Macaca mulatta: one gene and its partners. The protein of the gene in region 2 interacts with the protein of the main gene of each other region in a biochemical or structural test. Links are inferred from orthologs where the notes say so. Each region holds a gene or a part of one and is shown on either strand. Other genes may lie near its edges.

What was found.
Region 1: the proteins of SNTB2 (region 2) and DGKZ form a complex in vitro, tested with the Homo sapiens proteins (2 studies listed by BioGRID and IntAct, with this or other methods). The link is inferred for Macaca mulatta from reciprocal best matches to the Homo sapiens genes SNTB2 and DGKZ.
Region 3: the proteins of SNTB2 (region 2) and PTPRN form a complex in vitro, tested with the Homo sapiens proteins (2 studies listed by BioGRID and IntAct). The link is inferred for Macaca mulatta from reciprocal best matches to the Homo sapiens genes SNTB2 and PTPRN.

Annotation. Positions count from the first base shown.
Region 1 is NC_133419.1:19,238,177-19,241,818, forward strand, and holds part of DGKZ (diacylglycerol kinase zeta), read right to left. Parts: coding exon 3,615-3,642; intron 3,105-3,614; coding exon 3,048-3,104; intron 2,646-3,047; coding exon 2,577-2,645; intron 1,209-2,576; coding exon 1,137-1,208; intron 1,035-1,136; coding exon 918-1,034; intron 818-917; coding exon 746-817; intron 447-745; coding exon 351-446; intron 96-350; coding exon 13-95; intron 1-12. UniProt on the Homo sapiens protein: Diacylglycerol kinase that converts diacylglycerol/DAG into phosphatidic acid/phosphatidate/PA and regulates the respective levels of these two bioactive lipids.
Region 2 is NC_133425.1:64,804,494-64,808,608, reverse strand, and holds the start of SNTB2 (beta-2-syntrophin), read right to left. Parts: upstream 2,849-4,115; 5' UTR 2,832-2,848; coding exon 2,261-2,831; intron 1-2,260. UniProt on the Homo sapiens protein: Adapter protein that binds to and probably organizes the subcellular localization of a variety of membrane proteins. May link various receptors to the actin cytoskeleton and the dystrophin glycoprotein complex.
Region 3 is NC_133417.1:124,555,833-124,559,928, forward strand, and holds the start of PTPRN (receptor-type tyrosine-protein phosphatase-like N), read right to left. Parts: upstream 2,940-4,096; 5' UTR 2,891-2,939; coding exon 2,776-2,890; intron 1,388-2,775; coding exon 1,337-1,387; intron 1,095-1,336; coding exon 981-1,094; intron 1-980. UniProt on the Homo sapiens protein: Plays a role in vesicle-mediated secretory processes. Required for normal accumulation of secretory vesicles in hippocampus, pituitary and pancreatic islets.

The DNA of each region.
Region 1 (3,642 bases), on a different chromosome or scaffold from region 2:
GCAAGTACTTACGCCTCCCTGGGCCCTCCCTGGCTCAGGTCGAAGACTTGTCGGGGATTGAGATACCAGAGGAAGGACTGGATGATCTTCGCACCCTGGATGGGACGGGAGCCGAGAGACAGGCAGGCAGTGGCGGGACGAAGTGGGAGAAGCACAGGGAGAGGGGTGTGACTGTGGGAACCAGGGCCAATAAGGGGTGAGGGGTGGAGAAAGGACAGGATTTTCTCAGGATCCCTGGGAAAGAGGGATTGGGGCAGAAGCCAGAACGGGCTCTGGGAATAGCTGCTGGCAGACAGGCTGGACCCCAATCCCCGCCCGAGCCCTCAGCTGAGAGGCAAGGCCACGTTTACCTGGTTGCCCCCACTCTTGGGGTTCACAAACACCAGCAGGGGCTTCATGAGCGGGGAGGGGGTGGGTCTGATGATGAAGGGTCTCCAGCGGCCCTCCTGGGAGACAAGGCGAGAGCCTGTAAGCTCCTTCCTGTCCACGACACCCTACCATCATCCTTAGCAGGCCCCCTGGGTGACTCTGTCCCCCCTTGTGTACCCGCATGTACCACCTCTGGGCCAGATCTTACCAGGCCACAGAGCAGAAACTGGCATCTAATCCTGCCTTCTCAGAGGCCCCAGAGCCCACACGGACCCCTGCCAGCTGGCAGCATTAGCCGGGGGCGGAAGGTCTGTACCCTGAGCCACAGACCCCTCTCTCCGGCCCCCCTGCAGCCTCTGTCCAGCCTGGGACTGACCTCAGGCCCTTTCTTGCTGGACTTCCTCTTGAAGGATGCCCTCTTCTTCTTCTTGCTTGCTTTCAGGGTATTCTGCAAGGGAAGCAGGGGCGTTGGTGACAAGGTGGGCAGGCTGGGGTGGCTGGCAGACCCCAAGTACGTGGGGGGCATCAAGGGTGCAGGAAGTACTCACCTGGGGCCTCCGTGCACGGAGGATCCAGGTGGGCGGGATGACCACGGCCGCGTGGACCCCCAGGGAGCACGGCTCCTCAATCTGCTGCAGCATGAAGCAGGAGACCTTGCTGTGGTACTGAGGAGAGTGAGGGGTAGGGCTCAGCGGGACCGTGTTTGGACTCGGGGACCCAAACCCAGCAGTGCAGGGCGTGGCCCTGGGGGCGGGGGCACCACTCACTGCCTGCTTGCACCATGAGCAGCTGATGGCCACAATCTCCTTGCTGTGGAAGGTGAACTTCTGCTGGAATCCCTGAGGGTAGACAGGACGGATGGGCACCAGGGCAGGCCTGGAGCAGCAGACCCAGTCCCTCTCCTGCTGCCAACCTCTATCCACCCAGAGACAGGGCCTCACTATGTTTCCGGGCTGGTCTCAAACTCCCAGGCTTAAGCAATCTGCCTCAGCCTCCCAAGTAACTGGGAACAACAGGCATGTGCCACCATGCCCAGCTCTGAACGCATTTTTTGTTTTTGTTTTAAGATGGAGTTTCACTCGTTGCCCAGGCTGGAGTGCAGTGGCGTGATCTCAGCTCACTGCGACCTCCACCTTCCAGGTTCAAGCGGTTCAAGCGATTCGCTTGTCCCAGCCTCCTGGGTGGCTGGGATTACAGGCGCCCACCACTATGCCCAGCTAATTTTTTGTATTTTTAGTAGAGATGGGGTTTCACCACGTTGGCAAGGCTGGTCTTGAATCTCCATCACCTCAGGTGATCCTCCTGCCTCAGCCTCCCAAAGTGCTGGGATTACAGGCATGAGCCACCATGCCCAGTCTGAACACATTTTTTTACAATAAAATAAAAAAAATACACACACACACACACACACACACACACACACACACACATATATATATATATATATATATATATATATATATATAAATAAGCCTGAAGAGCAGGGCTGCTTAGCCAGGGCCCCCTGACTCCCTGAAGTTACCTGCACAGCACCGTGTGCATACTGCAGGCTAACTCCTGCCTCACTCGGATTTTCCCTCCTTCCTACCCCCGAGGCCTGACCAGGCCCCCATGTGCTCTTAAAGAAATTTACTGCTGCTTCCGAGTACCTATCACATTCATTCCCTGTTCATCCCACAGGCTGTTATGAAAGGCCTGTAGTGGGCCAGGTGCTGAGAATCAGTGAAGTGAGCCTCTCCATCTTTGACAGCCTGCACTTACTGAGGGAGGCGGGCAAGAAGCAAACAAGTAAGTGAACCAAACAACTGTGGACTGTGTTAGGCGGTCGCCTGGAAAGCCTGGCTTCAAGCCACACTGTCCTCAGGAGGGTGGGAAACCACTGCCCAGCTTGGTGCCTGGCACACAAGTATCCACGGAGTCACCGAATGAGTAAGTCTATATGATTCTCCAAAGGGCCACTTGCAGCTTCAAAGCAGGCCAGGCGTGCCACGTCGGAAGAAAACTTTCCTCCCTGCTCTCCTGCTAAGCCCAGAGACCAAGAGCAGGCCAGGGTGTTTGGGGACTGAAGGCACTGCAGCCAGGCTGAGAGTCAGCCCTGGACTCTGCACGCCAGGGTGCGGTCAGTGATGGGCAGGCCACATTGGCCACACAGCCTGGGCTCAGGCCCATGGGTGCAGGTGGCGATTTCCTCGGGCAGGGCCTCTCACCTTCCCACAGTGCCGACACTTGCCGTCCTGGCGTCGTCTGTGTACCCAGTGGTGCCGTACAAAGGTTGGCTGGGGGAGAAGTGGAGAAATTTCACCAGGTGAGGGGTAGGCAGGGGCACAGCCCTGAGGACGGCCTACATGGCTCAATACATCGAAGGTGGGGGCTGCAGGAAGCTCTCTGCAGTCCTGCGCATGAGTGGAGGAGGGGCTGAAGACTCTCTTCATGGCCCAGGGGAGGCTCAGAGTCAGAGGAGAGCCGGAGAAGGCTGGGAAGCACCAAGAGGCACAAGCTGTCCCACCCCCTCTGTACGCAGCGCTAGTTAGGCCTCCGCATGGCAGAACTCAGACCTCAGAGAGCACCAGCCTAGAGGGAGCCGAGCCCTCTGGTGGCACTCCGGAGGCACTGCACAGAGGCCCATGCCAGAATCTTAGGGTGGCCCTGTCCCTGAGCACCCTACCCTGGACACTTACCTCGCGCACGTTCCTCGAGCCTGATTCACGGAAGGACGGCTTACAGCGGAAATTTATCTGTGAAACACAGCAGTGACCACCAAAATGTCAGAACCTCCCTTCGGGGTCAGGTATATGGTCACTTCCTCCAGGACAACCCAGAGTCATCCTCAAAAGGCGGGGATACCCTCATATCATCCCGAGAGTCCTTGAAACATGAGACACCTCCTGTGAGAAGCCCTCCTGCCTCTCTGCCTCCTCCTCACTAGCCAGAGGGATCTTTCCTTCTTCCACCCAGCACCCAGGATGAGGGGGAGGTTGGGAGCTTCGGGTTTGTCCCCCCAACTAACATGGGACCGTGGTTTGCTCATCGTTCTCTCTTTTTTTTTGAGACAGTCTCACTCTGTCGCCCAGGCTGGAGTGCAGTGGTGCAATCTTGGCTCACTGCAACCAACACCTCTCGAGTAGCTGGGATTACAGGTGTATGCCACCAAGCCTGGCTACTTTTTCTAATTTTTAGTAGAGATGGGGTTTCACCATGTTGGCCAGGCTGGTCTCGAACTCCTGACCTCAGGGTGATCCACCTACCTCGGCCTCCCAAAGTGCTGGCATTACG
Region 2 (4,115 bases):
AAATGCAACGTCATAAATCTACTATATTGACTTCCTCACAACTTATAAGAACAAAAACTGCTTGTCTTATACAAAGTGGGAAAATAAAGTAGAACCTGTGTGTTAGGCAAAAAGGCATTCAATAAACATGTTATTATGCTGCCATCTTTCTAAAAGCACACATGGCCTATTTTAGTCCAATAAAGACTGGGAAGCATTTGCTACAAGGTTTTCATTTTACTAGTCTGAATACTAGGTTCAAACTATACCTACACAAAAAGTGGGTTGTTTGTTTTTGAGACGGAGTCTTGCTCTGTCATCCAGGCTAGGCATCCAGGCTGGAGTGCAGTGGTGCCATCTTGGCTCACTGCAATCTCCACCTCCGAGGTTCAATCGATTCTCCTGCCTCAGCCTCCCTAGTAACTGGGATTACAGGCATCTGCCACCATACCCGGCTAATTTTTGTATTTTTAGTAGAGACGAGGTTTCGCCACGTTCTCCTGACCTCAGGTGATCCACCCACCTTGGCCTCCCAAAGTGCTGGGATTATAGGCATGAGCCACCATGCCTGGCCAAAAAGTGTTGGGTTTTTTTTTTTTTTTAAACATGGTGTAAAAGGTTCAATTGTCTGCCCATCACAAGTGAGGACTACATAAATAGTGCATTCTGGATGTAAGAATTTATAACCAAATGCTTAGCTAGACCAATTTCAAGGTACATGTTTAGAGTAACAATTTTTTTATACACACACCCAAACCACAATCTTAATTTTACTCCTATTAACACTAATTTCCGAGCAGTGTCTAGCCCCACCTAGACGTGCAATATAAATAAGGTTTATAAATAGGACATTATAAAGGTGGGACACTGGAATTTCACAACTGGTGTACATGAAATCATTTCTGGTAAACCAGTATTTTTCCAAATATTCACAAGCTGATTTATAAGAAAGTGAAAATCCATTGTGCCAAGTTGGACTTCTGGCCCCTCGGTTTGATTGGTCCTTCTTCACCAGCAGCCCCCAGCCCTTCCCTTCTGTCCTTCCTCTGCCAGGAATACCCTCCTGACTCATCCCTGCCTGCCTATGTCCATCACTTCCTTGGAGACCCGGCTCAAGATTTAGCTCCGGGAAAAAGTCCTCCCTGGCTAATTCCATCTCCACTACTTTCTAACTTTGCATTCCTTTGGTATTTAAATATAGTTTGCACGACGTAATCGCCAACTTCATTCCTTTCCTCCCTATAAGTTGTTTTGCATTTTTCTATCATTTCTCCAACTAGAGACCAAGTAGGGACAGCATCTTCTTTTATATTCTTTTCAACACAGCTAGCAATAATCACCAGCGAAAGAAAGCTGACCGCTCAAAAATTTATGAAGAAAGCAACTGACTCTTCGTTTATAATTTACAATATCACCTCCAACATGCATGAGTTCTTAGAGGAGAGGAATTTTATTTTTGCCCTAGTTCAAATTCATCAGAAAGATCCAACTTACAGATCACATACATATAACTTACTGTAAAGAATAATCCTGGTTACTGAAACCTATTTTGTGATTTGCCATTTCAAGTTTCTTACAAAAACCCTAATAGCGCGCCTGTGAGTGGTAGGAAGCTGGCAGCAGACTTGCAAAAGGGGCAAAACTCTAGTTGGCAGTAAATGTTCAAACACGTGAGCCTCCACTGTTAAACAAGGTTCATTAACCACACAGACTTGCTGTTTCAGCTTTCTGGCTTCAATGAAGTGCTATGATCTCCTTCGGTTATTGTTGAGAGCCAATGATGGGTTAAATTCCCATAAATTAACCAGCTCTTTGGTGGGTTGCCCAAGCATACAGCTGGCATCGGTGTGGACGGACTTTTTTTTTTTTTTTTTTTTAATAGACCCACCCGCCCCGAGGAGCCAGAGGTGAGTGAGTTAAGCGCCAACCCGGCACTTCTCAGCGGGCAAACGGAGACAGACCCACTCGAGCCGTTCGCTCTGCCTCAAGTTCTTAGTGTCAGCTTATCGGGCCGAGAGGAGGCTTCATAGGCAGCTGCTTTTTACTCAGTCTCAGCCGAGTCTTCCTTAGGGGCTGCAAGTAACACTTCGGCGGCTGCCCAACTTTTCCTGCAAGAAGCATCCGTTTTTCCACACTGAAAGCTCCAGAAACCCGGGTTTGGGGAGAGAGGGGGAGAGAACCGGCTCGCCCCGCCGGCGGGGCAAGGAACAAAGTGAGCTCCCGCGAGCCCAGGCCGCCGCGGCCCGCCCACCCTCCCGCCCGCCCGGCCGGCCCCGCTCACCCTCCAGCAGCACCTCCTTGCCCGCGCGCTTCAACGCCTGCACGGCCTGGTCGTGGGTGGCCTGGCGCAGGTCGGTGCCATTCACCGACAGGATGGCGTCGCCCAGCCGCAGCGCCCGGCTCTGGTCGGCGGCCAGCCCCGGGAAGATCTTGGAGATGAGGATCGGCATCCGGTTCTCGCGGCCGCCCTTGATGCTGATGCCCAGGCCGCCCGCCTCCTGCTTCACCACCCGCACCCGGCGCACGGGAGGCGACGCGCCCGCCTCACCCGCGGGGCTCCGAAGTGGCGCCGGCGGGCTTGGGGGCCCCAGGCCGCGGCTTGGGCTCCCGGGCAGCGAGTCGCCCGCGCCGCCGCCGTTCGGGAGGCCGTTGAAGGCGGCTGCCGCGGGTCCCAGAGCGGGCTCCAGCTCGGCCGCGGCGGCGTCGCCCGTCAGGCTCAGGCTCTCCCCGCTCAGCTCGGCCACCACTCGGACCCAGCGCTCCCTCAGGAGCAGCTCCACCAGCCCCGCTTTGGTGGCCCGCGTCCACACCGCCATGGCCGGCCCCGCTCCAGCCGCCGCAGCTACCCTCATTCCAGTCAGGCAGCCTCGGCGCTTCCCCCTTCCCGCCCGGAGGGGCGGGCCCGGCCCCTCCCCCGCGTGATTCATTATTCATGAGGCCACGCCTGCCTCCGGAGGGGCGGGGCCGGCGCAGCCGCTTCCGGGAGGTGCAGAAGTTGTCTGATCCCTTGCCTCTCGCCGGACGTGGGCAGCCCGAGTGCAGTGGAACTGCATTTCTCATTCTCCTTCCATTGGCTCCCCACGGCTCCCCCCGAAAATTCACGGGAGCTGCCCGGGCACGGAAAGTAAAATCAGCTTGGAGAAGCACTTTGCAAGCCTGCAAGACCCGGTGGCACGTTCATTCTTGCATTGATTGGTTCGTACCCTGTATACTGAGCGCTTAGCCCTGTACTCCGGCTCCTTTTGAGGCCCTGTAGATAAGCTTAGTAGTACCAACAACAGCTGAGAGTTTGCGGTCTAGTGGGGAAGGAAAATGCAGAACCAACCAACTAGGTGTGATACTATGTGGTTAAGTGACATGCAGAAAACGTCCCCAGAACAGCATAAAAGGAACATTTGGTTAGGCCTGGGGTCAGCTTCACAGAGGTGACAACGGAGGGTGAACAGCTCAAGCAAAGGTCCAACAGCATGATCCAAGCCTTTGTCAATGTTTTGTAATCTCGTTTACTTGCCTGTAATTCAAGAGGGAACCATGTTTTCTTAAAACTCTGAAGCCACAATTGGCAGGCCTCAAGGATATTTGCAGAATGATGGTGTCTTATGGTTCTTCAGAGAAACCAATCAATAGGATATATAGAGATATATAAATTTATTATTATTATTATTATTATAAGGGACTGGCCACGAGATTATGGATGCTGAGAAGTTCCACGATCTGCCATCTGCAAACTGGAGACCCAGGAAAGTTGGTGGTGCACTTCCAATCCAAGCCCAAAGGCCTGAGACGCACGGGAACCAGTGGTGTAAACCTGGGCCCGGCGCGGTGGCTCAAGGCCGGGCGCGGTGGCTCAAACCTTTAATCCCAGCACTTTGAGAGGCCGAGGTGGGTGGATCACCTGAGGTCATGAAGTCATGAGTTCGAGACAAGCCTGACCAACATGGAGAAACACCATCTCTACTAAAAATACAAAAAATTAGCCGGGCATGGTGGCACAATCCCAGCTACTCGGGAGGCTGAGGCAGGAGAATTGCTTGAACCCAGGAGCGGAGGTTGCAGTGAGCTGAGATGGCGCCACTGTACTCCAGCCTGGGCAACAAGAACAAAACTCTGCCCCAAAAAAAAACAACAACAAAAAA
Region 3 (4,096 bases), on a different chromosome or scaffold from region 2:
TTTTTAGTGGTCCCCCTCACCAACTCTTGACTCCATCTATTCTAGTCTCACTACAGCGGCAAAAGTGATGCTTGTAAAGTGTAAATCAGATCATGCACCCCTATGCTCCAAATCTTGTAATGGTTTCCTTCTTTACTCAGAGTAAAGCCAATGTCCATACATTCCCCTATGAGGCCCTAAAGTGATCCACATTCCTTCTCCCATTACCTACCTGACTGGACCTTCTACTCTTCCTCTCCATCACTCCTCTACAGTCCCCTGGCCTGCATGGTGTTCTTCAGAATTGTGCTTTTGTCCTAGCTATTTGGTCTGCCTGAAATACTCTTCCACTAGATAACCTTCTGACAAACTCCCCTACCTCCTTAAAAAGTCTGTTCAGATTTCATAGTCTCAATAATGTCCACCTTGACCACCTGATTTCCTGATTTAATACTGTAGCTTTCTACCTCACCATTTTGATCCCTTTATCCTGCTGTAATATTCCATGCTATTTATCATCTTCTAAGACACTATGTATTTTCTAACTTTTATAGTGTGTTCCCTCCCCTTATCCCCCAAACATAAACTCCAGTTAGCAGAGATCTTTGTTTTATTCCCTGACACATCCCAAATACCTAAAACTATGCCTGCTACACAGTCAGTACTCAATAAATACTTGTTGAATGAAGAATGGGTGAGTGGAATATTATCCTGGCTGAGGATTCCAGAGTTCTTGGCTCTGCCAGGGAGAGGAACTGGTCCTAAGGAGATGGAAGCTGGCCTTTTCCAGTGACTTCTTCTAGAAGCCTCCTTTGGGCTTCTCCAGAGAGTCCAAATGTGAATAGCCCATCTCTAGGGTTCCACCTCTCACTCCAGCAAGATCTGGGAAGATGAGGCTCCAGCAGTGGGGGTGATAAGAATATTCCTTGTAGAACAATATTCTTCCCCACCCATAACTAACCAAGTTCCAATCTCTCTCCTCCAGTGCACCCAGACCTTACCTTGAGACATGAGTTGTCGGAGCACACCTTGTAAGCGTTGGAGAACTGGGGAGGTGACTTGCAAAAGGGGCCGGGCCTGCCCCACTCCCACCTGGCACTGCCCAAACAAGCCATCTGAGGGCACAAAAGTGGTGTCAGCAGGGGGCTTGAATAAGAGGCTTTCCAAAGTCCAGGTTGCAAATGAACAGTACTCTCTTCACCTCCTCCCCTACCTCTCCTCTTCCAGGCAAGTCTTCCTTCTTCTCGAGTCCAGTAGCCCTCTTCCTTTCTGGGCCTTCTCTCCCCTTCTAGTTTTTTATTACCCCTCTCCCCACCCCACCCCCATCTTGTGAGTTCTATGCTTGGGCCTCACTCACCCTGAATACAGACTTCCAGGTGAGAGCAGAGCCTGCGGTCAAATAGACAGCCTGTAGAGGAACAGGTGAGCAGAGGCTCAGACACCCACACACAGAGAATGGGCAGATAGGTGGACAGGCTGGGAAAGGGAGAAGCAGATGCAATTTATTCTTTCATTCTAAAGAAGGCCTTAAGCTGGGAGGAGAGTAGGAATCAGGCCTGAAATTCTTAAAAGGAATCATGGGATCTAGTTTTGGATTTTAAGAATTTGTGAGTCTGTATCCTTAAAAGCCTGTTTGCTTAACTGAGTGATGGGGAAGAAACCTTCCAGGTGCAGGGAGAGAGACTCATAGAATTACTGTAGGAGAGGTTTTGGCCAAATTCTGAAAGAGGAATTTCCTTCCCAAATATCCAAAAGCATCCTATAATGGCCTGGAACTCAGAAGAGGTGGAAACCCTAGCACACTTCCCCCGGTCGGGGGAAAGAAGGTATGGGTGGGGCTGGGGAGGGTGCCTCTTAGGCAGCTCTTCCCGCGCTGTCCCGAGCCGCTGGCGCTGTCCGCGGTGCTGAAGCTCTAAGTCTGGCGCCGCCAAGGGCTCGCCTGGAGGCGGTTACCAGAGAGGAAGGGGTCACAGAGCGAGGACTGTCCACTAGACCTGAGCCCTCTGTTCTATTCTGCCAACCCACAGCGTCACAGGAAGTACTCTGCCTCTCGGGCCTCCAAGCCCGGGTGGGGAAAGAGGGCGCCAGGCGGCGAGGCTGCGCCCCTTCCCCCACGCGCCGTCCTCCTACCCCCACCCCCCGCCCGTGAGTCAGCGCTGACTGTCTCTGTCCGCACAGATGTGAGTCAGCACCAGGCCTGGCTGTGGGGAGGGGGACAGGAGAGGACCCTCCCCTCTTCATCCTCTTCTGCCCCCTCCCCGTGCTGTCCCCCGTTACAGGAGATCAAATCGCTGCAATCAGCCTTTCTAGGCTTACGGAGAAACCCTGGTCTCTCTCTTGGCGCAGCTGGGACTCTATGCCTGCGGCCCAGGTTTCCACTGCCCAGAGATCACCGTTCCCTCATCCTCCCCGCCACGTCCCCGCCCCCTCCTCTTCCCATTCCTCAGCGCCTGTCACCGCCTCCCAGGCGCCTCGGAGCAACTGGCTTCTCCTGTGGTCTCGCAGCCGGTCTCTAAGTCCCTCTGCCCACATGCACCCCGCGTCCTTCTCCCCAACCTGCAATTTTCCCCTGAGCCCAATTCTCTTAGGTCCCGCCCCCGTATTCCCAGCCCCACCTCCAGGCCTACGCCCCTTTCCTCCCAGACGCCCTCTCACCTTCCTCATCTCGCATGCCTCCCCCAACCCATATTCTACCCGAGCTTCATGACATTTCACCCCCACCCCCATCGAGTTTCGCTCCAGGCCCCAAGCTGCTCCCCGCCCCCCACCACCCGCCAGCCCAAGTTTCCTCCTGACCGTGGGCACTAACGGCGCTGCAGCCCCCCGGGCGGCTGCTCAGCAGCAGGAGGCAGAGGAGCAGCCGGAGACCCCCGGATCCCCCGAGACTCCCAGGCCGCCGCGGGCGCCGCATCCTTCCGAGCTCCGGGCGCTCGCTCCCGGGCCGGAGCCGCAGCGACGCTGGCGGGAGCCTGCCGGAGGGGCCGAGGCGGGGCCTGCCGCTCCCCACCTCCCTACGAGGCGGGGTCTACATGCCCCTCTCGCTGCAGCGCGGCCAACAGCAGGCGGGTGCTGACGACACCTCCACCCCCGACTCGTAAGCTAATTTGCGTCACATATGGCGTAAGAGCCCTGTCGGAGAGGGGGACCTACCCAGCCCATCCCTCCTCCGTCAAATAGTAGGCGCTTCGCTAGAATTCCCACTTGGCCCCACCCCTTTTTGACCTGTGGCCCTCTTCTAGGACCACCTCTGTCTCCCCGCCCCAGGGTGGGCGAAGAGGGTCAAGTTGAGTGGGGGGCCAGGAAAGATAGGTGGGTCCAGAATGATAAACCCGAAGACGAGAAGCAGAAAAGCGGGTAGAATAAGTACTCTTACTCATTGTCATTGATGGTATTGGTCTCTTCCTTAAGAAGAAGTGGTTAGGCGTGCCTAGATTCCAGTTCTAGCAGGGCATCTACTAAGAGTATGACCTTGGGCACCTTGTTTAAATTGTCTGCGTCCAAGTTTCCTGATCTGCAAAGTGGAGGTACTGATAGTTAGTATCTGCCTCACACGAAGATTGTGAAGATTTCGTTAGTTACACTAATGTGGATCACTTAGAAAGATGACTGGACTGGTATATACTCCATGCTCCATACATATTAGCTTTCATCATTAGCTTTTATTTATTTTTTATTGAGATGGAGTCTTGCTCTTTGGCCAGGCTGGAGTGCACTGGTGTGATCTTGGCTCACTGCAACCTCCACCTTCTGGGTTCAAGCCGTACTCCTGCCTCAGCCTCCCTAGTAGCTGGGATTACAGGCACAGGGCACTTTGCCTGGCTAATTTTTGCATTTTTAGTAGAGATGGGGTTTCACCTTGTTGGCCAGGATGGTCTTGAACTCTTGACCTCAGGTGATCCAACGGCCTCCGCCTCCCAAAATGCTGGGATTACAGGTGTGAGCCACCGGGCCTAGCCTCATCATCAGCTTTGACTCTCCTTTCTCTCCCCCTGTGCCAACTCAATCAATCATTTCATGGTTTTTGCCTGCAAAATACATCTCCCATCAGTCCACTTCTGTCCATCCTCACTACCTGAACTAAAACACTGTACCCTTTCACCACGACCACTGCAACAAT